Kluyveromyces lactis: one gene and its partners. Each later gene encodes a partner of the first gene's protein in a complex. Links are inferred from orthologs where the notes say so. Each region holds a gene or a part of one and is shown in the gene's direction. Other genes may lie near its edges. The genes, in order: KLLA0_E19933g, RXT3, DEP1, SAP30, SDS3, RPD3 and ASH1.

Region 1 (3,620 bases):
TGAGTGTTTGGGCATGAATTCGTTAACCTGACACGGATGCACCCCGATGGTGTACATCATCTTTGGTCCATTTTCAGTTGCAAATTCACTACAAAGCTTAATGGAATGTCTCGATTCTTCCAGTGAAGATCCGGTAATCAGCAGCTTATCCACATTAGTCAATCTACAACGGTTCAATATATTGGATAAATCCGTCTCGTGCTGCTTCTTGCCATGGTATTTCCCTTTGAACATGTGATCAGAGATATTGAACCCAATGTCAAAGTACCTTATCTGTTTCAAACCTGTCATCTTCTGAAGTGCTCTGGACATATACAGTGTAGAAGCTGTTTCACAGTGATATACAATGGCCATAATGAACCGAAAATATGCCAAACAAACAGGAAGTCCTTTTATCGTTCTGAAGTGGGATGAGTTGCATATCCTCTTGCGCATCGTGAGATGGCTTGTACAGAATTTTCGAGTGTTACCCGGATGTAAGGTTAAGCTCCACTCTGTGACTCAAGTCCGCATGGAAACATTCACAGACCGTACATGCCACACGATGTCCAAAAATATCGTGTAATGGGTATCTTCCGAAGCCTATCCAATGGCCTACCAACGCACTTATCACCTCCCGGAGTGCATCCCCCTACCTCCCATAAGCTTATTTTGACACATTCTACACACTACTGCAATAGCTTTCCGAAGGCGTAGACTAACGCACCAGTCCCAAACCAACCGGGGAACCCCATTTGCAAGAAGTACACAGACGAAAAAAACAAAAAAAGACACGTGAACGGTAAGATACAGGACCCTCACTCAGTATACTCACATCACATCTCATCTCTTCTCATCTCACCTGTCACCTCATCTCATCGCTGTCACACTGAAAAAATTCGAAATTTTTTTTTTTTCCAACTCATCGCGACGAAGAAAAAGCCACTAAACTCGACCTCATCGAGTCTTGTCATTTAACTTGACACTCTTTGTTTCCTAGGCAGAAACCTGTCTTTATTGGTTCAGTACTCAGTCTGACCTCAGTGATATCGACTCAGAGCATAACTGTCAATACGTTAGTTTATTGTTAGCCGATTTTGGAAGGAATTTAAGGCGATTTTTTGTTGTTTAAAAAGAAAAATCGTTCATAAACTACTGTCGGTTTTATTTTGGACCGTTCAAAATTTTTATTCCCTCTCGTTGTGTTAATGAGAACAGGTCTTTGAGCTAGAGAATTAGAGCTATTAGAAAGCTGTTACTGTCGTTTTGATTACATTTCGAAAATTTTTGAGCTGAATTTTGGTTTTACTGCTCTAAATAGTGGATTTTGTTTTGGTTGCTGATACTTTACAATTATAACTCACAATATTTTTAAGTGAAAGGGTAGATGACTGCACCAAAAAACGTTTCCAGTAGGACTCCGAGTTCGTGGGAACCTCAGGACGATGTCTTGTTGCGACACTTGAAAGAGGTGAAAAGACTGGGATGGAAGGATATTGCTCAGTATTTTACGAATAGAACTCCTAACGCGTGCCAATTTCGGTGGAGAAGGTTAAAATCTGGCAGTTTAAAGACGGTGAAGTCGCCAGAGGAGGAGGATGAGGAGGAGGATGAGTTGTTAAATGTGACTGTTCCAGTACTTGCTCCAATGGCTGTTTCTGCAGGACCTACGTTGAGCGCGGAATCTTTAAACACTGGGTCCTCTTCGACGGCGAAGAAGAATACGGCAAAGAAGTCTAGTTCTACGGGACCGATGCCCATGCCCATGCCAATTCCGACCTCAAAAGTTACCAATAGTGCCGTTCTTTCGTCACCTCATGGGTTGAATGGTAGTGGGAGTGCTACTAATAATAACAATAGCAACATGGGTGTTTTTTCGTCATCTGCTGCTACAGCTGGATCTAGTGTCCTATCGGTAAACGGACTTGCACATTCCGGATCGTTGTCCAAGTCTCCGTTCTCTACTGCTTCTCCTGCTCCTCATGGGAAATTTATAAAGCCCAGGTCTTCCTCTCATTCACAGGACGCCCCACCAAATATGCCCCATTTCAATGATCAAGAGGAAAATTTTGGTTTTATTCCAAAAGTCTTCATCAAGAGTAGACGTGGTTCCGCGGTCGTTGTGAATAACACTCCACAATCGAACTTGCCAAACCTGGCCAGTACGAAATCAAGGAAAAATTCCTTCTCCTCGCGCTCCAGACGTTCCTCTTTCAACGTAGCATCCGACAGGCATTTCATCCCAATGTCTTCTAACGGATCTTCTAGAAGATCTTCCGTTGTTGTCATGCCTTCATCAACTTTGCCCGCATCTTCCGCGAATCCAAGGAGAGAAAGCTTCACGACGAATCCATCTATGTCTAGAAGGAACTCTGTCTCTCAGTTTAGACGTGAGTCTATGCAAGCAGGTTTCATTGATATGCCCATAAAACAAAGCTCTCAACCCCCTCCTTCATCCGTATGTGCCGTTGGATCATTCAATGGCTTTGCAAAACCTTGGTCTGGCGATGAGGATAAGTTGTTGGTAGAAAAACGTCAAAGGTACCACTTGTCCATTGATGAGCTTTCAATCTTGTTACCTCATAGATCAGAACAAGAGATCCAATGGAGAATGGATTCGTTACATATAACGCCTAGCGATGCAGTTAGTACTGCTAGTCCTTCCGCCAATGTTAATCAATCGAGTTCTTCAGATGAGGTCCACTCTACTTACTCACCAGATACTGCCGTAGAGGAGCATGACGACATTGACGATGTTGATGTTGATGTAGAGATTGTTGGCCGCATGGAAGACTCTATTGCCCCAACTCAGCTAAGAGATGAATCTCCTACGTTTTCTCAAACATCTTCGACTGGTTCTTCCGCTCGTGAGAGATCGCCAGTGTTTTCACCGGACGCTCATTCCTTGAGAGACCATTCTCCAACTATTTCTGATGTGAACAACTCATCTTTTTATGGCAATAGGATGCCTGCCAGCGTACCGAAGCAAATTCTTCAAACACAGGCTAGTAATGAACAAACGCCCCAGTTCACTCCGAATTCATCGCAATCTCCTCAACCACCACAAAACCATCGACTACCGCAAGTGCCAACTCAGCCACTGCCTAGTTTGAATACGATATTCAAGCACATTGTTTGATGATAAACTGTCTGTATTAATACCATTATCAAGAACCAAAAACTTAAAAAACTACTTTACAAACCACTTTCAGACATGTATGAACATGAACCCCGAAGTGTATCGTGGCGCCAGTCGCTGCTACTTCAATCATCATTGTCGTTGATTTACTATCACATAAACGCACACACTTTCCTGATTATGACCCCATTGTACAAGTACTATAACTACAATAGAACATCAATAATACTGTTACAGTGTTATCTTTATGCCAAATCATTTGAACTGTACCATATGGTTATTTTTTGTCATAATAATGTCCCTATTCAGTTTATTATAGCAAAGGGACACGGGCTGCTCCTTTTGCATAAACACTTAAATGAAAAGTGCGTACTATTACGTTGTTTTGTTATTTACATTTTACTGCTATATCAATGATGGCATTAATTTTCGCTATTCTTACAATCATATACATATATACATGCATATATTAGATATTACACTATTATCAGTTTTCTTCTCA
Region 2 (2,723 bases), on another chromosome or scaffold:
TTCAAATTATTTCACATTGATAAACAAATAACCCATCTTTTCAACATTATATTCCAGAAACAAACTTAGCGTTTTCACAAGGACGTATAGCATGGTGTATATTTTCTCCACATTCTAATGATATCAAAATAAACTAAATAGACTTCATCTCCGGTCTTTAATATCCACATATTCTCCCAAAGTATCTCCATTGTGTGCAAACTTACATGCAATGTTGCATTCAAATACAGTATATGATCTTTAAACTCCCCTTCTCATTGCTCTTATCCACTTTGGTATCTATTGTGTAATTTCACTTCGAAATTTTGTTTCATCATTGGTAAAAGCTAACATACTCTTTTGTGCATGTTGATGGTGTATTCACGAGTAACGACGTCTTTCAAACCGGCCATTTTGTATTCGATAGTTCCTCAGTGTACTGCTTCGTTCTTCTCTATTAAGAACCAACACACAAATCAAATAAACAGTATCGTAAACGCCTATTAACATTCAGAAACCTCTAATTTCACCACTTACAATATAGCTTATTTCTCAGTATCCAAATAATATTTCATCGAAAATCAACACTTTCTCTCTGGTACTGGAGGGAATAGACTAGGCACTAGGCTGGAGCAAGGCAGCCAGTGGTGGGTGAAACGCCTAGTATGTCCAAACCTGGCTGGGTGGCTGCCCAGGCTGGTTCCAGTAGACGGAGGAATGCCTGCACTCTGGACAAGGAATGGTTGCCGGCTGGGGTGTAGAGCTAGAAAGGTGAATTGGCATCCTAGGCAGAGTGGGTAAACCTGTCATCGGAGGCCGCCGGGCGTTGTCAAGCGAGGTTCCTCAGGCCTGTATCATTGCTTCCCACACACAACATGTCCTAGAAATGTTTGTGTCATTCGAAGTGCGAAATGCGGAATGAAAGTTTCCTATTATAGAAAATGAAAACATAAAACTATTTTACATCAGAGTGCACGGATGTTACAGTGGAACAAATGAAGCCTCACGAATGTACGGATGTTATAACAGTCCCGTATATAGACTATTATGGTCAAACTGGTGATGAATGTTGTTAATGAAAGAATCTCCATCTGTACATCGAATACACAGTGAATTCATAATATAAATCGAGAGAAATTTACTCCTGAGCAGGGTCGATTGATACATTATTACAAGCTGAGAACTTCGCAGTGGCTCAATTGATTAGTTGCCGATTGTATAGCTGGTAAAACTTTGATTTATTCAACAGCTTTCAGCCACTGTTTGAATATGAGTGATGAGTTGTACAGAAAAACCCAAAACAGGATATACAGCATGCAAGAGACACTGCTGAATAGTTCTAGGGAGTCCAAACAGGCCCGAGATCAGGATACGGGTAAAATCGGATCATCATCATCAGAAGAAGCAGTTGCTGCACCGGCTAATACACAGAATGTTGCAGATGAAAGTTCCCAAACAGGGGAACCTGAAAACAACACTACCCTTGAAACTGCAGCTCCAGACAGCAAACCTGAAGATGACGAAGACGAAATAGACGTAAACTCTAAATCTGTCCTTGAATATACAGAGAAGAATTACGCACTACAGCGGCGCCCTTTGGCCACCTTGGAGTACGACTCCATGAGAGTTGGTGTTTTTCCTGGGGATCCGAAATTGGAAGCCCTTCCATTCCCTTATAATTTCAAGACCATCAGATCTCCGAGACCTTTTATTCCAAGGATGTCTCATAACCATATCAACTCAATCCTTACAATACAGATCGATTCCATATATTTACAACAAGTGGCCCGTAGTGAGAACATACGGTACCAAAACCGAGAGATATGGGGCACAGATATATATACCGACGATTCGGATATTATATTAGTACTTCAACACTGTGGAGTTTTGCCATTTTCTGAACCATTGGATCAAAACAGCAATGGCAAGCCATCCAATGTTCACTCTTTGAAAACTAAATTGAGAAGAACTCCTACAAATATGTCGGACCAAAATAGTGTGACAGGAGCAATCCCAGAACGTGAAATTCCATTTGCGATCAAAGTGGACATCCTAATGTTACCACCTCTTCAAGGTTATGCGTCATCCACGAGAAATAATATCACATCCAGAGAATGGACAGGGCAAGTCCATGACGGTTTGTCGTTCGGAATTTTCCATGTTGATATTGTGGTGATGGACAACACATTAAATGAGATACAACAATCTGACAAGACTAAGTCACTAAAGTGGTAACGCTGCATCAAGAAAAAGGCCAGCAGCCGGTATCTTCCGTCCCCCAATATATTTTCTTTCGTCATGTGTCTCGTACAAGTGACGAGAAAGTTGACTTAAATCGGTTATGTGCAAGCCGTGCGTACTGCATCGATGCGTGCCGAAAAGAATATGTACATTTGTATATGTAAAAGCGTTGTGTATAGATTACTCAACAATGTAATATCATAATAATAACTACCATTATCTCCACTGCCATGCAAACCTTCTAAACATAGAGGTCTGATATATATGCTATTTTATACGTCCCTGCAACCTTCTTTTAAATTGGTTGAAGGTTCCTTCTATTCTTTTAGTGACATTCAATAAGATTAATAATTGGGAAAAAGATTTGAAAAGACCGACCATAAGAGAAGTGTTCGAGACGTTAACGGCTACAAAGTGACCCATAAGACCCTGAATCTTGTTTCTTGGTATACTTAAAGATTAGGTTAGAGTAAGGGTCTCACTGATTCTAACTTCTGGGTGAC
Region 3 (3,527 bases), on another chromosome or scaffold:
CGGTAATCGAAGACTTATCGACTGCAGTTGCTTCATCTTCATTATCACTATCGGAAGAGTCGTCCTTAGGTTCATCCTTAGGTTCATCTTTAGATTTAGAATCACCTAATACCTTAGAATAATATTGAACTTCCAAATTATCATTCTCTTCATCATTCTTCTTGGTCTTCTTCTTTTTCTTCTTCGGCTGTTCTTCCTGTTCTTCCTGTTCTTTCTCTACTCCTTCGGAGACAGTAGAAGCACTTTCCTGGACATTCTCTTCTTCTTGTTCATCCTTATCCTGTTCAGGCTCAGTTAGCACAGTCCTAGCTTTCGACTTTACTTTACGCTCATCGACATGATTAGGTTTGGAGAATAACGCTGCAATCGATGATGTACCTGCCGCGTCTGATTTGGAATTTCCAAATAAATTGTTCAATGCGGACATCCCGTAATATAATTTTGGTTTGTTATGTTTGAAAGACCCTGGTTCACCAACACAAACGTTATTCCTCTGCACTAAACCTGCTGGTGGCTGTCCAAGTCTCTTCGATGCGATGAGCTTTATCCATTTGTCTGTTGAATTATCGAAAGTGAAAAACCTGCACTTCCTAGAAAAGCCAGCAGAAATCATGAATTTACCACCAAAAAGAAATGCGGAAGAAAAGCGTACGCTCTATGGACAAATCGAATGTATCGTAGTCACGTGATTAACACCGTGGAATGTACTATATGGCCGGGTAACATCATGTTCCTTTTCCTTAAAAAACGTACAAACTGTAAATAGTGCTGAAATGCCGAAATATAAGTTAAGAATAAAAATACAGTCTGATTTTAGCATGAACATATAGTTATGGCCAGTCAGCAATCAATACATAGATCTCATCCAAACGTGATTTAAAATATTGTGTACTACTAAGAATAGAGAGAGATAACTGTTTTGCTAGTAAAAATAAGAATTACGCGAAGTAAGGTATATTTGCAGCCCTTTGTTTTAGTGTGTCAGGTATCAACTTTCAATCTATTCAAGCAGCAATTCTTAACTTATACTGCGCATATTAAACGGTTTGCTGGTTAAATTTTGTGTGTTTCTGCATTGGAGTATAAGCTAAGTGTTTTTTCTTTGCCATCAGCCGATTGGAGTAATACAAAGGTTGTATTGGTTATATGCGTTGGGATTTCTTTCTTTTTGAATTCAAACGGTACTATCTTTGAATCATTCAAATGGAGCCAGAGAGAAACAAAAATAACAGTGTAGAGGCTGCGAGTGAGATTGACGATCATAATACCAGATCTGCCCCCACTACGAAACTTACCAAAGAAGTTTTAGAGAAGATTGCTTCGGATTCTGATTCTGTTAATTTTAACGCAAATAGTTATTCAAGGAAATCGAAATCAGGGAGTCCCTCAAAGGTTGGTACATTAGAATACGACGATAACAGTACCAGTGGATTATCTAAGGTCACTTCTCCAGAACATCCAAACTCAGTCTCTCTATCGGACATATACATCTCATCAGACGCTGAGACCGAAAAGATGGATTTAGAAGAGGACGAATCACGTGTCAAACTATCGGAAATGGCATCCAATTCGATTGAAAGTAACGGTAATGACAAAAGTAAACAAAATGATGATAATCTTTCGAAGACTGTAAAACAAGAGTACATCAATAATGGTGTCGGTAGTTATATTCAAGAATCTGCCCCTAAACTTGCTACTCCTTCAAAAGATGAGGGACCAATCGTTCAGCAAGATAAACCAGCCGAAACAGAACCTGAACCAGTACCGTATGAAGATGACGCTGTTGCTGATACAGATCATACAACAGAGCCAAATAAACTTGCACTAAGCCAAAACCAGGACGAAGTATCTGTACCTGCCGAAGGAGGCAGTCAAGAAGAAACAATTGCAAACGATGAACAAGAACAGCATGCTCCGGTAGTAGAGGAGCAGGCGAATGATAACGAGATCAAATCGCAAGAAGAATCAGAAGTGTCTTTAAAGCATAACCGTGAAGAAGAGCAACAGTCCCTAGAGAACGGCTCGGAGCATGTCAAGTCTGAACAGGTGTTCAAGAAACCGAAATTACCTACTGAGTCAAAATCAGGTCACTATGAAGACGAGCATGAAACGCATGAAAACGGAGATCATGATGTTGATATCGACGCGGATGCAGAAGCTGAGGATGATGGTACTCTAGAAAGTGAGGTTGAGGACAATAATGAGGATGAAGAGGAAGAATTAGAACCCGAAATGGACGCAGTAGAAGAAGATAATGATGAGAAACAACAGACAGATACACCTGGCGTCGATTCTACCGATAATGGACTATCGCCCATGGAGAAGGAAAGGATAAGACAAGACGCTTTGGCAGAACTAACAAATATTGAAGTCGAATTTGCTCAATTGCGACAGAGTCTATATGAAAACAAGCTGAGCAAATTACAGAATGAGCTACAGATGTGTCTAGATGGATCACATCCTCAACTACAGACTTATTATCAGAAGATTGCTTCGATACGGGACTTTAAGCTAAAGAGAATGTACCAAAGGCAAAAGTATGAGCTGGAGTGCATAGATACCGAAACTAGGGCGACAAGAACGTTTATTCATCAAGATTTCTACAGAAAGGTCTCAGATTTGAAACATAAGTTATTAGGAAACACAACCCAGAAGTGGTATGACATCAATAAAGAGAGACGTGAAATGGACGTTGTTGTACCTGAAGTAAATTATCACGTTCCAATAAAAATTTCAAATAAATCTTTGAGTTGTATAACCGGATACGCAGCTCCTGCCAATCTGAGACGTCCAGGCGACTTGTTATCAGAAGATTTATTATGTGAAAATATCAATTTCAGATATCATAACAACCCTGTCGATAAGTTAGAAGTCATTGTAGACAGAATGAGGTTTAATAATGAATTGAGCGACTTAGATGGTATAAGGAAATTCTATGGAGGATTCCCAGGTGCTCCTGAACTTGGTGGTTTAAAAGATTCTGAAATTCATGAGGATCTTGCAGGAATACAGCATCAACAATAGGTCATATAATTTTTCACTAGGTGCTCCAAAAACCAGAAAACACGCTCTTATCAATAGTCAATAAAATGTCATCTTGATGAATCATCATTTAATTATCGTTTTGTTATGATGTGTAATCTTTACAAGTATAATATATGCATGACTGTGTATATGTATAGCACTTTTAACATTTCCACGATATGAAAGTGTATTCGAATTGACATCTGTGAATTCGAGAAACCTTGATATTTTAAAATATACAAAGATGTATGTTATATATGGAATAGAAGATATACTTCCTACTAATTAAACATTTGTTGGACGTTGGTAGAGATAAAAGCGTAAATAATAAAAAGATGAGAAAGAAACCCCAAAAATAGTAGTCCTTGTGAAGTGAGGAAAGGTTGTGATGAATTGGTCAGATTCCAATGTGAAGCGAAATATCTTTATTTTATTAAGACACCAGGATAGAAATAAAACTTATAATAAACCGTATCCAACCCGATGATATTTTTCTATAAGAA
Region 4 (2,355 bases), about 790 kb from region 1:
AAAAAGTATACCTTTGGAACATATTGGTGAATTGGGACAATTAAGGCAATTGCTATGGAATTAGGGTTCCAGTCTGCTATCAGGTGAGTGGTAATTGGGCTTGGTTTTGTGGGGCAAGAATGGTTCCATGTCTTGTCGATGCACATTGCCATGTGTCTACTATGGTGGATGCTGTAGGATGCGATAAGATCAGAAGCAATTTGGACCTGGCCCTTGCCGGAACGGCAAGTGATGTCCAACGGTGTGTCATGAGCACGAATGTGTACGACTGGGAATTACTGGAGCCCCTGCTGCTAATGAAACAACTGGATGATGAAGGTCCCGGAATCAATGTTAGTCTTGGTGTGCATCCCTGGTATTGCCATTTATATCAGTTAGATAGGTCGCTTTCTAAGGTAGGGCATTATAGGAATTGTCTTAAATGTAAAGACGAGGTACAGTTGATGGAATTGGTAGAGCAATTGCCGGATCCAGTAGATTTGTCAAGTTACTTGTCAGATGAGCGGGTTTCTCGTGTGGGTTGTATTGGCGAGATCGGATTGGACAAGGTTTTTCGGTTGCCTCAGAATGGCTTTCTCGTGAGCAATAATGGGACATCGTTGGAAAGAAGTAGTTTAAGCAATGTAAGGGTAGAGTTTGCACATCAGATCCAGGTATTTGAAACGTTATTAAAAGTTGCAAAGGGAAGGGGGTTGCCGGTTTCGATCCATTCTGTGAAATGTCAAGGTACTACTTTTGATATTTGCAAGAGAATATTATTGGATAGCGAGGTGAACATATGTTTGCACTCGTTTACTGGGACATTGGATACGGTGCGGCTATGGCTGGCGAATTTCCCACATGAACGGCTTTTCTTTAGCGTTTCGTGTTGGATCAACTTGAAAGACTGGGATTCTGGTGCTGAGCTGTTGAAGAGTTTGCCCTTGCAGTGTATTTTGACAGAGACAGATTGTTCTGTGGATTCAGTGTCGTCGCAAGAGCAACGACAGATGCTAGATTCCGTTCTTGACGCCATTTCAAGAGCTCACGGCATTTCCAGGACTAAGGCGATGGACACGGTATTACAAAACTTCAATAGATTCTTACGTAAATGAGATGAGACGCAGGGACTGCATGTATGTTCTTTGTTTAATGTAGTCATCCTCTATATCTAATTCCAAGTTATTCCCACTTATCTAAGAAAAAAAAGTGTCTTAAGTACAAAATTTTGATCTTTTTGAACATTTGTCCAGGTGGTAAAGGGCATTACCATGTACTGCTCCATACCATCTCAGGTGTCAAATAGAGTGGGTGCTGTACAGTCACAAGGATCTTACACGACATGGCACCAAGGGGACACAATAACTCAAATTCAGAGTCCGAATCTAAGGGCAAATCATCGAACAATGCAACTTCAGGTGCATCGACCAGGACCAGTGTGAAACAAAGACTCTCGAGTGCTCAACAGCAATACTTGAAGGACTTGAACAAGAAACATATACATAACAATCATCCGAAGAATGAGCCGCTCCCAAATCCGATGGATTTCGAACAATACTCCGATGAATTTTTAAGGCGGTATAAGGATAGGTTCCAATTGAAATCTCCAGATAATCTATCAATACAAGGGTACCTTCTAGGATCAAGGATTGGGAAACATACTTACTCGGCGAAACGAAACCAGAAAAATGTACCAGATGCAAGGGTTACGAAGCAGGAGCTTGCGAAAGGTGTCAGGGAACACTTCGATAACTATACCGTTCGAGAAGCGGAATGCCTTCCTCAGTTTATTTACAAAGTACAAAATCAGAAAAAGAAGTTCAGAATGGAGTTTAAGGGATGAAGCGGTGGTGTTGCATAGCTCACTTCCATCTTGGGCATGTAATTCGACATCAGCCTAATGGCTTCATCTATTTGTAACATATATGAATAATATAGAACGTAATAATCAAGGATATCAACGGAAATCTATTTGGAACTAGCGTTCTATACGCTGATTATATGCACTGCAGTGAAAAGGACAGATTGCACAGCAAGCTGTACACACGTCCTTCTGCTCTTTAACATTTTTTTCCTTTACAGGTCGTTTACACAATTTTTCTCTTTAATAAGAAATGAATGATATTAATTATCATTCACAAGTAAAAACTGTAACAAGACAAGTATTTGCTCCATAACCAGGCATACTGTGTTTTCCTGTCTCCAGAATAATTAATATCACAGCAATATATTGAGAGCAGACAGAAATTATTGTGTTAGATAGAGTATCTGAATTAAAACTTTAATCATGGCGGATCAAAGTTTCACATTATTTATCATTTTGGCTATTGCCGGTTATATTGCTGTGAAATGGTTTTTGAGCAATAACGAACAACA
Region 5 (2,966 bases), about 1.0 Mb from region 1:
AGATGCCGACGACACAGTATCCAAATTGTCAGTCTCATTAGTGGACAAGGCAGGGAACAAAAAAGATGGATCTGTGTTTGGTATATTCAATTCATGTGACACATATTTATTAGCATTTCTACCGTTGTTACGGTTGACGCTAGGTGGCTGCTGAAGCTGGGCGTTACTTTTCACACTGCGATTAAGCATATCGTGAGCCAGGACACCATTTATACTAAGACTAGGGATTGAAGGTGCGTTTTTGTTATTATCACCAGTTTCTTTCGAAAAGGAATTCGCGACACTGAACCCAAACTCCTTAAAACCTGACAGTATATCACCACCGAAGTCAGACAGCTTGACACCACATTTCCTACTATTATTCATCGCATTGAAACCAGGCGCAACCTTCGACCCTCGAGAATTGTCAGAATCTTCCGGATTTAACAGTACATTCGCACCGATGTCACTGGGACTATCGACATTCAAATAATCGTCAATATCCATACTGTTCTCTCAGTCAAAAAAAAAAACAACAAAAACAACTCGGAATACAAGTCTCAAAGTCAGGTAATATTATATCCAAAGGGGAAACCAATATGTTTTTCGAAAACTCTGTTCTCTGTTCTTTCTTTCCTATGAACTGGAAAGACTGAAAAGAAGAGCTTTATAAAATCGACACACTTATAACGTCGAAATTTAAAGTATTAGAATATTAGGGGTAGTTCAAAGCACCGCAAAATTCAGCGATTTATCTGTACTAATAACACACAACACTGATGTGTATCACAGGCTGCGTACCACTGTTTTATCTCTGAATTAGTCTCACTATTTCACTTCTATTCACCTAACAAAAAAAAAATCACATCGTCATTATATTATAACTTAACTTACTTTTTTTTTTTTTGGGAATTTTCCCTTTTCTTTACCAAAATTGCCAAAAGTTCAAAGCCTTTAAAAACTTTCAACACACTTAAAGCCTGCACTTATACCGGCCAGCTTTAAGCTTTTCTTATCTGAAGCTGCGACTTTTCTGCGGGGAAATGAGATGGAAAACGGAACATAAAAAATTTAAAAAAGAAAATGGTGATACTTGCAATGAATAAATCAGTGTTATGGGAGCATTGAGGTTCGAACGGCAGAAGCATGGCATTTTCTTGTTTGTCTCATTTGATTATTATTATTTTTTTTTTTTTTTTTTTAAATCAGAGCAGCTTAAGCAGTTGTACTTTGTACATACTTTATACATAATTTGTACATAATTTGTACCCAGCTCATACGTTGCACGATACATGTAACGAGCAGCACATTAACTCGTTGTGTTAACGTTTTCAATTGTAATTTTTTATTCTGTGTTAGTAATTTCACAGGATAATTGGTAAGAAACGATACCGGAGAGTTTTTCTGGTTTCACTTTAACAATTATATCAGCTTTTGCAGTAAATACAGCTTCTCCCCCCGAGGAACATGGATGAAGTACAATATTCTATGATGAGCAGCGGTGTGAAGAAAGGTCAAGGAGCGAAACAGAATGGGGGTGCTATTCCCGCAGGTGTTGGGCAGGATTTGAGTAGGAAGGATAAGAAGCGATTACAGTTTGAAGGGAAAGTGGGAAAGATAAGAACGTCGTTTGCAAAGGATAAAGATGTGCATTATAGGGATAGGTTGACTCTGTTACAGACAGATTTAACGACGCTGCATCAGGGGAATAACCCTGAATTTCTGAGGAAATTGAGGGATCTTGAAGAAGATAGGGATTTGGAATTAGTTAGGCTCAGGCTTTTCGAAGAGTACCGGATTTACAGGTCCAAAGTAGAGTTCCAAGAAGATATTGAAAAAGCCAAGCAAGAACATGAAAGGATGATCAAATTGTGCAAAGAGATGTTGTATGAATCCCTACAGAAAACTATCAAGAAATTGCAAGAGGAACGGCTACTTCTGGATGTAGCAAACACACAGTCTTATTCGATGGATTATTCTCGAGGGAAATTCCAGAAGCAGACTAGAAGCTCAACTCAAAATTCAGCCAATTTTTCGGCTTGGGATTCGTCACCGAACGATGTCAGCCAAACAGAAAGTGGCAATGAGACTGGTAATACTACCGATAGGAGGTCATTGCGTAGGCGTGCTGCTACTAATCAGAATAGAGCTCAAACTCCTGCAAACATTACACCTGCAAACGGAAGCGGGAAATCAAGCAATACTAATAGCGATGCAGAGTCGATGCAATATCTGAGCGATTCATCAGAATTACAGGCTTTATTGTTCGGAAAGGAAAAGGAAAAGGAAAAGAAGATGGGTCGAGGTCACCAAAGACTTTCGACAAAAAGCGCTCCTATTCTTCAATCTTTAACTCCGGATGAGGTTACTGATGATATATCTTTGATAAGAAAGCTAACGGGCCAAGTACCAGCCCCATTCAAATGAATATCAATAGTTGGATTTATCTTGTAAATCTGGTCTGGGGTACAAGTGAAGAAACTAAAATGTTACCAGTTTTTTTTTTCTGTCATCCAATATTTCCCAAACTGCTTAGGTCCCAAATACTATCCGTTATTGTCAGTCTTATACCTTGTATTTTTAGTGTATCTCATGTGTAATACTACTACTTTATAATACTGCGTATTTTTTAATGTATGCACAAAAAAGTGAACAGAATCTGAATTTTGATATTTCAGTTATCTATTGACGATGATTTATGCGCAATACGCGATCCATTTATAAACATAAACTCAACAGTCGATTAAAGTACCAAGAATATTAGTATAAAACCTCATTCTTTCATCTTCAACTATTGGGACGTACACATTCATCTTTTCCACTTTTTTTTGCATGATTACTGATAGTTTCCATCTTATCTCATGAGGAATAGAACCAGAAAGCTACTGATAGTGATAACAATTGCACTTCTAATTTGTGTTGGTGTACACCATATTGTGCGAACGGAAGAAGCTGCAATATGGGAAGATGCTGTAGTCTACTCCTCA
Region 6 (3,154 bases), about 1.6 Mb from region 1:
TGATATGACCGATATAACTGCAGTCATAAATATTGCAAGAGATAGATTCTCAGACTCTATCGGAGCTCCTAAAATTCCTAACGTGACTTGGGATGATATTGGTGGGATGGATGTGGTCAAAGGAGAAATCATGGATACCATAGATATGCCACTCAAGCACCCTGAACTATTTTCATCTGGTATGAAAAAGAGAAGTGGTATTCTTTTCTATGGACCTCCTGGGACTGGTAAAACCTTGTTAGCGAAGGCAATTGCGTCTAACTTCTCTTTAAATTTTTTCAGTGTTAAAGGGCCTGAACTTCTTAACATGTACATTGGTGAATCCGAGGCAAATGTTAGACGTGTCTTCCAGAAAGCAAGAGATGCTAAGCCATGTGTCATTTTTTTCGATGAACTTGATTCCGTGGCACCAAAGAGAGGAAATCAGGGAGATTCTGGGGGTGTTATGGATCGTATTGTGTCTCAACTTTTGGCAGAACTAGACGGAATGAGTTCAGGAGGAGACGGAGTGTTCGTAATTGGAGCTACGAATAGGCCAGATCTTCTTGATGAAGCATTATTACGTCCCGGTAGGTTTGACAAGATGTTATATTTGGGGATATCAGATACCGATAAAAAACAGGCAAATATCATCAAGGCTTTGACGAGAAAGTTCACACTAGAATCTGGTATCGATATACTAGATATTGCCAAAAAATGTCCGTTCAACTATACAGGTGCAGATTTCTACGCATTGTGTTCTGATGCCCTTTTAAACGCTATGACTAGAGTTGCTGGTGAAGTTGATGAAAAGTGGGAGAAGTATAACATGGAAAATAAAAAGAATATATCATTGAGGTATTGGTTTGATAACGTGGCAAACGAGAATGACTTGAAGGTCGTGGTAAAATTACAAGACTTCGAGCTTGCTCAACAGAATCTAATACCAAGTGTTTCTGAGGATGAATTAAGACATTACTTGAGATTAAAGAGTAGTTTCGAATCTCAATGATCGTTAATAAGTAATCATATCGAATATTATTATAAATCATATATAACAAATATATTAACTCATCCATGCAGGATGATCTGGTCAGTAAAAAGTTGGTCTACTTCTTAATCTTCTTCAACTCGTGTAACATGACAGATCTCTTTAAGGCTTTTCTTCTTTCTTTAGCTGCTTGGAAATTCTATATTGATGGAGACGGTGAAAAATGAAGGTAGTGATTTCTATTAAAACCTTGATTTATGTCGAAAACATACCAAGAAAGCTATATAAACAAGAGGTGAAAAATTTGTACCGGCTCTCCAACTTAGCGAAACTATTAAGATTAATTGTGCGTGGACGGTATGGTATACGAAGCTAAACCTTTTGACCCGATAACGGTGAAGGCTAACGAGAAGAAGCGAGTTGCATACTTTTATGATGCTGATGTGGGAAACTATGCTTATGGTGCAGGACATCCTATGAAACCACATAGAATAAGAATGACACATTCGTTGATTATGAATTACGGTTTGTATAAGAAGATGGAAATTTACAGGGCTAAACCTGCAACGAAACAGGAGATGTGTCAGTTCCATACCGATGAATATATTGATTTCTTGTCTCGAGTCACTCCAGATAATTTAGATATGTTCCAAAAGGAGAGTGTGAAATTCAACGTTGGAGACGATTGTCCTGTGTTTGATGGTTTGTACGAGTACTGTAGTATATCTGGAGGTGGTTCTATGGAGGGTGCAGCCAGATTAAACCGAGGCAAATGTGATGTTGCCATTAACTATGCTGGTGGTTTACATCATGCCAAAAAATCGGAAGCTTCAGGGTTCTGTTACTTGAACGATATAGTGCTAGGTATCATCGAGTTGTTAAGGTACCATCCTCGTGTTCTTTATATTGATATTGATGTGCATCACGGTGATGGTGTAGAAGAAGCTTTTTATACTACGGATCGAGTTATGACATGTTCTTTCCATAAATATGGGGAATTCTTCCCAGGTACTGGTGAATTGAGAGATACTGGTGTCGGGAAAGGTAAATACTATGCTGTGAATGTCCCATTAAGGGACGGTATTGACGATGCCACTTACAAATCGGTATTTGAACCAGTCATAGGTAAAATTATGGAATGGTACCAACCTTCTGCCGTGGTACTCCAATGCGGTGGTGACTCTTTATCCGGCGATCGTTTAGGTTGTTTCAACCTTTCAATGAAGGGTCACGCAAACTGTGTCAACTACATGAAATCGTTCGGTGTTCCTCTCATGATTGTTGGTGGTGGTGGTTATACAATGCGAAACGTGGCTCGTACATGGGCTTTCGAAACGGGTATTCTGAATAATGTGATTTTGGATGAAGAACTTCCTTACAACGATTACTACGAATATTATGGCCCTGATTACAAATTGGATGTCAGACCATCTAATATGTATAACGTCAATACACCGGAGTATTTGGATAAAGTGCTACTTAATATTTTCAGCAATCTAGAGCATACTAAATATGCCCCAAGCGTTCAACTCAATCACGTTCCTCGCGATGCGGAGGACAAAGGTGACGCCGAAGAAGATACTGCAGCTGCGAAGGACACTAGAGGAGGTTCTCAGTATGCAAGAGACATAACCATTGAGAATGCAACCGAATTTTAGCCAGAAAACAAAAACAGATGATCTTTTATTATTTACTGTATTATAATATATTTACACTTAGAAGTACTCTTCCGCATTTGCTACAGGTTTTATCGTCACTCACCTAATCACTGTTATATGTCATTCATCCGACGGTTAATATGATGCTGAATATACAGATTGGTGCCCAAGTTAGAATTGATCTAATGAGGTCAATTTTCTATCGTGTTTTCCCTCCGTCAGTATCGGTATTTGCCATAATTTTCCACGTAATACTATTCCAGTTCAGATATGACTTACATCTGCACTTCGGTTGTCAGTAACAAATCTATATATGAAAAAGATCAAAAAATGAAAATCCAGAAGCGAATGGATATTTAAAAGTTAAGATCAGATAGGTCGATTACACAAGAATAAAGCTTATCCTATTTCATATAGAGATATATATTATCTGATAGTAGATACGTTGTATCTAAACATTCAAATCACAGTTAGTAAATTTTGCAATGGCTGTTAAAGGTTTGGGTCAATTGGATCAAGTTTATGA
Region 7 (3,441 bases), on another chromosome or scaffold:
GATCCCTGACCTGGGCGGGACTGTGAATCCTGACTATTTGCTGGAACTGTGCTATCCTGGCCGTTCTTATCCTTCCCACTTTCGTCAAATCTAACTTTACAGTTCACATTGCATAGTAAGGTTCCGGTACCTGGTATCACATGGAAATCAACCGCGGTGATAACGTGCTGCGTCAGTACCACTCCAGTTTGCCATGCCTGAAGGAATTGCACTGCCTGTCCAAACGGTTGGGAATTGAATATTATTTTGCACTGATGTGGGTTAAATAGCTGTAGGAATTGTTCCAACTTTGCTGGATCGGGCTCATCTAGATGAGCCAGTACTTTCTTCACAAAAGTCTCCACGATTTGAGGTTGACGATTCATTTTGATAATATCAGTTGATGATGCTTTAAAGAGATTTGCTGATTTTTATTGAAGGCTTTGATAACGTTTACCTTAATACTATTAATTTCAACATCGATCAAAAATTTTATTATTAAATCTATGGAAAGAAGTCTTCTTCTCTCCAAATTTCATCTTGGGTAAATTCAATTGACTAGCTTCATCAAATGCGGGTAACAAACAATATATGTACGCGTTGTAATTTCCTTGATGATTTTAGGTAGACCCTGATTTCAAAATCTCTCAAATGAACACATGCAAACACAACTCTAAATGCTGATCGACTCGAGCAAATATCTAGCGTACATATTGTAGAGTCGGATTTTTCTTTTCCTTATGTCTCTTTTGCCAGCACTTTTGTCAAGCTGCCTCGCGCACTAGTATTCTTTTTTTTTTAAATTCTATTTTCTGCTTGCATATGTGAAGAAAGTGTAAACATGAAAAACCCAGCATCGAAATGTAAATCCATAATACCAGCCGAACAGATACCAAGACTTGGTGTGGAAAAATAAACATAAACAGAGATCTGAAAGCTAAGTGAACATCGCTGCGCGATTCCATTACATGATATATGATTTTGTAAACAATGGTTGACTAGTTTTGATCAATTTTATAGCCGGTAAGAGAAAAAGAAGTATATCTTTTGTCTTTCCCTTTAGTTTTGCAGGCATAGAACAAGTATGAATTCTTTTGCCAAATCGAAAAAAATTCGGTAAACCCTCTGCGGGTTTGGCGCAGGTATTCTTTGTTTACACTTTTTTCTGTTTCATCGATATATGGATTCCTACTAAGTTTGCGGGACTGAACTGATTGAAATTGGTTCAGTATCCCTAGAGTATATAAACCAGAATCCAAATCTGGGTTTCCATGGGACAATTCTTTCAGATCGATTGGAAAGATAATCCCCTTATTTTTACTGAATTAGGTATCGTGGTTGATATATGACAGTTCTAGCTAATCCTTATAAGGCCTGATATATTTCTTCACTCTTCAAACACTGGTCCTGACAACTGTGTTACACATCAATAATTTACTTCAATTAACACCGTAACTTGTTCCCCATTATAGAGCATCGAATCAGCTCATTTCCCATCGCTTCGACCTTTTCACTATTCAAGCTAACGATGTCCACTATTTCGAACCCTTTACCATTCACCAATCCTCACGCCGAGCAAAAGTTCTACGCAAGAAGAAAAAGATCCTTTGATGATCTATTATTGCCATCTTTAAGTACCAGTTTGAACGCCCCAATGACATTAGAAGAATCGCCATATTTCTTTGACGCCCGGAAAAAATCTAAAACGGCGCCAGCCTCACCTTCTGGATTCGTACAAATCACGCCTACTACATCACCAGTGTCCGCTTCATCTAATTCTTCCATATGGAGACAGACAGTATGTGAGGGAAGCAGCATTAGCAGCAACAGCAGTAACAATATTGGAAAATCAACTCAACTGCCTTCCTGTTCACAACTACAGAATGAGGTTGCGCAACCCTCGCAACCAGCACTACAACCATTAAAGCATCTAAAGTTATTGGCACATCCTAAAATACAAGAGTTTTCGTACCTCTATCCAGACACTTGTGCCTCCACGCCTCTATGGAGGCAAAACTTAACAGAGTGGTGTAAGGAAACTAATTACACTCAGTACCAAAACATTACAGATCAGGTATCTCAAGCTAATCCAAGAGCTGGTAATTTTACTCATGGATTAAATATTTTAGCCGATGCTGCTAGAATATCATCGATCAATACTTCACCAGATGAATTCTATCAACTTTCAAACACTTCAAGCTCCAGCAAAGTACTGGTAACCCCACCAAGTAGTCCTCCCAGACAATTCACTTCTATGATCAGCGAATCATTAGTTAAAGCGGTAAAGAAGAACCGTTCCTCAAAACATAAGAAGACCAACAGTTTTAAAGCAAGAAAACTGAAGAAGATGCTGGATCAACGCATATTGCTTACATATGAAGACAAATTCGAATCACAAAAGTCGGTATTTAAGGCTAATCCTGCACCACCAAAGACCCCTCCACAAAAGAAGATTACACTATCCACAACTCCAAAATCTCTTCAATCTCCCCAACAGAGATTTCATCCTATTGTGATCAACAGCGTGGAGGATTTCGGCGAAAAGACTTCGGCGAACTCCAACTCAGAAGACGACACCGACCAAGAGCTAGTCCAAACATCTCCCAAAAGCTCTCCAACACAAAGGCGTAACTCTCATAGATTTTGCGTTTCATGTCACATTACAGATTCCCCGTGTTGGAGACCTTCTTGGTCTAAAAGCAAACAAGATCAGCTTTGTAATTCTTGTGGGCTCCGTTATAAGAAGACCCATACAAGATGCACCAATGAAACTTGCCGTAAAATACCTTCAAAAGGTGAATTGACACTTATGAAATCAAACAAGCCAGTTTCGATTGAGGACGCTGACGGAAATACTGATTACAAAATAGCATGTTTGTTCTGCGGTCACGCCGTTGCTACTGACGAATAGGGCAGAAAAGCCTGATAAAAAAACCAACCTTCCTTGCATAATTAACTGATCCCAACTTTCAACGGAGCTTTTTACCTTCTAATATTGCATTTATAAATACTTACTTCTCTTTTCCCTTGTTTGTCCGGATAATATTTCCACTATTCCCTTTCCCTTCAATTCTAACTAATTTGATTAATATAATGATATAATCTAAACATATATTCTTCCTATAATTTATCTAATGTAGCGTAAATTAATATTTTCACACTTCTGATCTTTGAGCATCAATATCATAGGTTGATATTGATGACTGGCACTTAGTAGCTGCTTCAGACCTCTTCATAAAGTGAATGATTTTTTCTTTCTTTTCATTAATATGCCATTTACGTCAAGATCGATGTATGTTCGCTATCTGAAAATGAAAAAAAAAAAAAAAAAAAAAAAAAAAAACTTCATCAAAAATATAAATAACTGGAACCGTCAATATCTCATCACTTGCTTTCGTTTTGCTTTAATATCTGAGAAAGTACAGCCTAAGCACCTCATCAATACAGACAGTCATGAACTCC

Evidence for each region.
Region 2: KLLA0_E19933g (region 1) and RXT3 share a complex: the UniProt entries of both Saccharomyces cerevisiae proteins name them as parts of the RPD3C(L) complex. The link is inferred for Kluyveromyces lactis from reciprocal best matches to the Saccharomyces cerevisiae genes DOT6 and RXT3.
Region 3: KLLA0_E19933g (region 1) and DEP1 share a complex: the UniProt entries of both Saccharomyces cerevisiae proteins name them as parts of the RPD3C(L) complex. The link is inferred for Kluyveromyces lactis from reciprocal best matches to the Saccharomyces cerevisiae genes DOT6 and DEP1.
Region 4: KLLA0_E19933g (region 1) and SAP30 share a complex: the UniProt entries of both Saccharomyces cerevisiae proteins name them as parts of the RPD3C(L) complex. The link is inferred for Kluyveromyces lactis from reciprocal best matches to the Saccharomyces cerevisiae genes DOT6 and SAP30.
Region 5: KLLA0_E19933g (region 1) and SDS3 share a complex: the UniProt entries of both Saccharomyces cerevisiae proteins name them as parts of the RPD3C(L) complex. The link is inferred for Kluyveromyces lactis from reciprocal best matches to the Saccharomyces cerevisiae genes DOT6 and SDS3.
Region 6: KLLA0_E19933g (region 1) and RPD3 share a complex: the UniProt entries of both Saccharomyces cerevisiae proteins name them as parts of the RPD3C(L) complex. The link is inferred for Kluyveromyces lactis from reciprocal best matches to the Saccharomyces cerevisiae genes DOT6 and RPD3.
Region 7: KLLA0_E19933g (region 1) and ASH1 share a complex: the UniProt entries of both Saccharomyces cerevisiae proteins name them as parts of the RPD3C(L) complex. The link is inferred for Kluyveromyces lactis from reciprocal best matches to the Saccharomyces cerevisiae genes DOT6 and ASH1.

Annotation. Positions count from the first base shown.
Region 1 is NC_006041.1:1,774,032-1,777,651, reverse strand, and holds KLLA0_E19933g (SANT/Myb-like DNA-binding domain-containing protein), read left to right. Parts: upstream 1-1,366; coding exon 1,367-3,118; downstream 3,119-3,620. Other genes in the region: KLLA0_E19955g (3'-5'-exodeoxyribonuclease), read right to left, coding at 1-435. UniProt on the Saccharomyces cerevisiae protein: Component of the RPD3 histone deacetylase complex RPD3C(L) responsible for the deacetylation of lysine residues on the N-terminal part of the core histones (H2A, H2B, H3 and H4).
Region 2 is NC_006038.1:261,946-264,668, reverse strand, and holds RXT3 (Rxt3p), read left to right. Parts: upstream 1-1,248; coding exon 1,249-2,214; downstream 2,215-2,723. Other genes in the region: RPL31B (60S ribosomal protein eL31), read right to left, coding at 336-392. UniProt on the Saccharomyces cerevisiae protein: Component of the RPD3C(L) histone deacetylase complex (HDAC) responsible for the deacetylation of lysine residues on the N-terminal part of the core histones (H2A, H2B, H3 and H4).
Region 3 is NC_006042.1:735,851-739,377, forward strand, and holds DEP1 (Rpd3L histone deacetylase complex subunit DEP1), read left to right. Parts: upstream 1-1,203; coding exon 1,204-3,024; downstream 3,025-3,527. Other genes in the region: rRNA-processing protein NOP12, read right to left, coding at 1-427. UniProt on the Saccharomyces cerevisiae protein: Component of the RPD3C(L) histone deacetylase complex (HDAC) responsible for the deacetylation of lysine residues on the N-terminal part of the core histones (H2A, H2B, H3 and H4).
Region 4 is NC_006041.1:986,090-988,444, reverse strand, and holds SAP30 (Sap30p), read left to right. Parts: upstream 1-1,321; coding exon 1,322-1,822; downstream 1,823-2,355. Other genes in the region: KLLA0_E11243g (putative endodeoxyribonuclease), read left to right, coding at 120-1,094; CUE1 (Cue1p), read left to right, coding at 2,267-2,355. UniProt on the Saccharomyces cerevisiae protein: Component of the RPD3C(L) histone deacetylase complex (HDAC) responsible for the deacetylation of lysine residues on the N-terminal part of the core histones (H2A, H2B, H3 and H4).
Region 5 is NC_006041.1:774,525-777,490, reverse strand, and holds SDS3 (Sds3p), read left to right. Parts: upstream 1-1,446; coding exon 1,447-2,406; downstream 2,407-2,966. Other genes in the region: DNA-binding transcription factor CRZ1, read right to left, coding at 1-486; KTR5 (putative mannosyltransferase), read left to right, coding at 2,841-2,966. UniProt on the Saccharomyces cerevisiae protein: Component of the RPD3C(L) histone deacetylase complex (HDAC) responsible for the deacetylation of lysine residues on the N-terminal part of the core histones (H2A, H2B, H3 and H4).
Region 6 is NC_006041.1:185,651-188,804, reverse strand, and holds RPD3 (histone deacetylase RPD3), read left to right. Parts: upstream 1-1,329; coding exon 1,330-2,628; downstream 2,629-3,154. Other genes in the region: PEX6 (AAA family ATPase peroxin 6), read left to right, coding at 1-991; lumazine synthase RIB4, read left to right, coding at 3,114-3,154. UniProt on the Saccharomyces cerevisiae protein: Catalytic component of the RPD3 histone deacetylase (HDAC) complexes RPD3C(L) and RPD3C(S) responsible for the deacetylation of lysine residues on the N-terminal part of the core histones (H2A, H2B, H3 and H4).
Region 7 is NC_006038.1:232,046-235,486, forward strand, and holds ASH1 (DNA-binding transcription repressor ASH1), read left to right. Parts: upstream 1-1,507; coding exon 1,508-2,890; downstream 2,891-3,441. Other genes in the region: MTR2 (Mtr2p), read right to left, coding at 1-365; ornithine decarboxylase SPE1, read left to right, coding at 3,433-3,441. UniProt on the Saccharomyces cerevisiae protein: Component of the RPD3C(L) histone deacetylase complex (HDAC). Responsible for the deacetylation of lysine residues on the N-terminal part of the core histones (H2A, H2B, H3 and H4).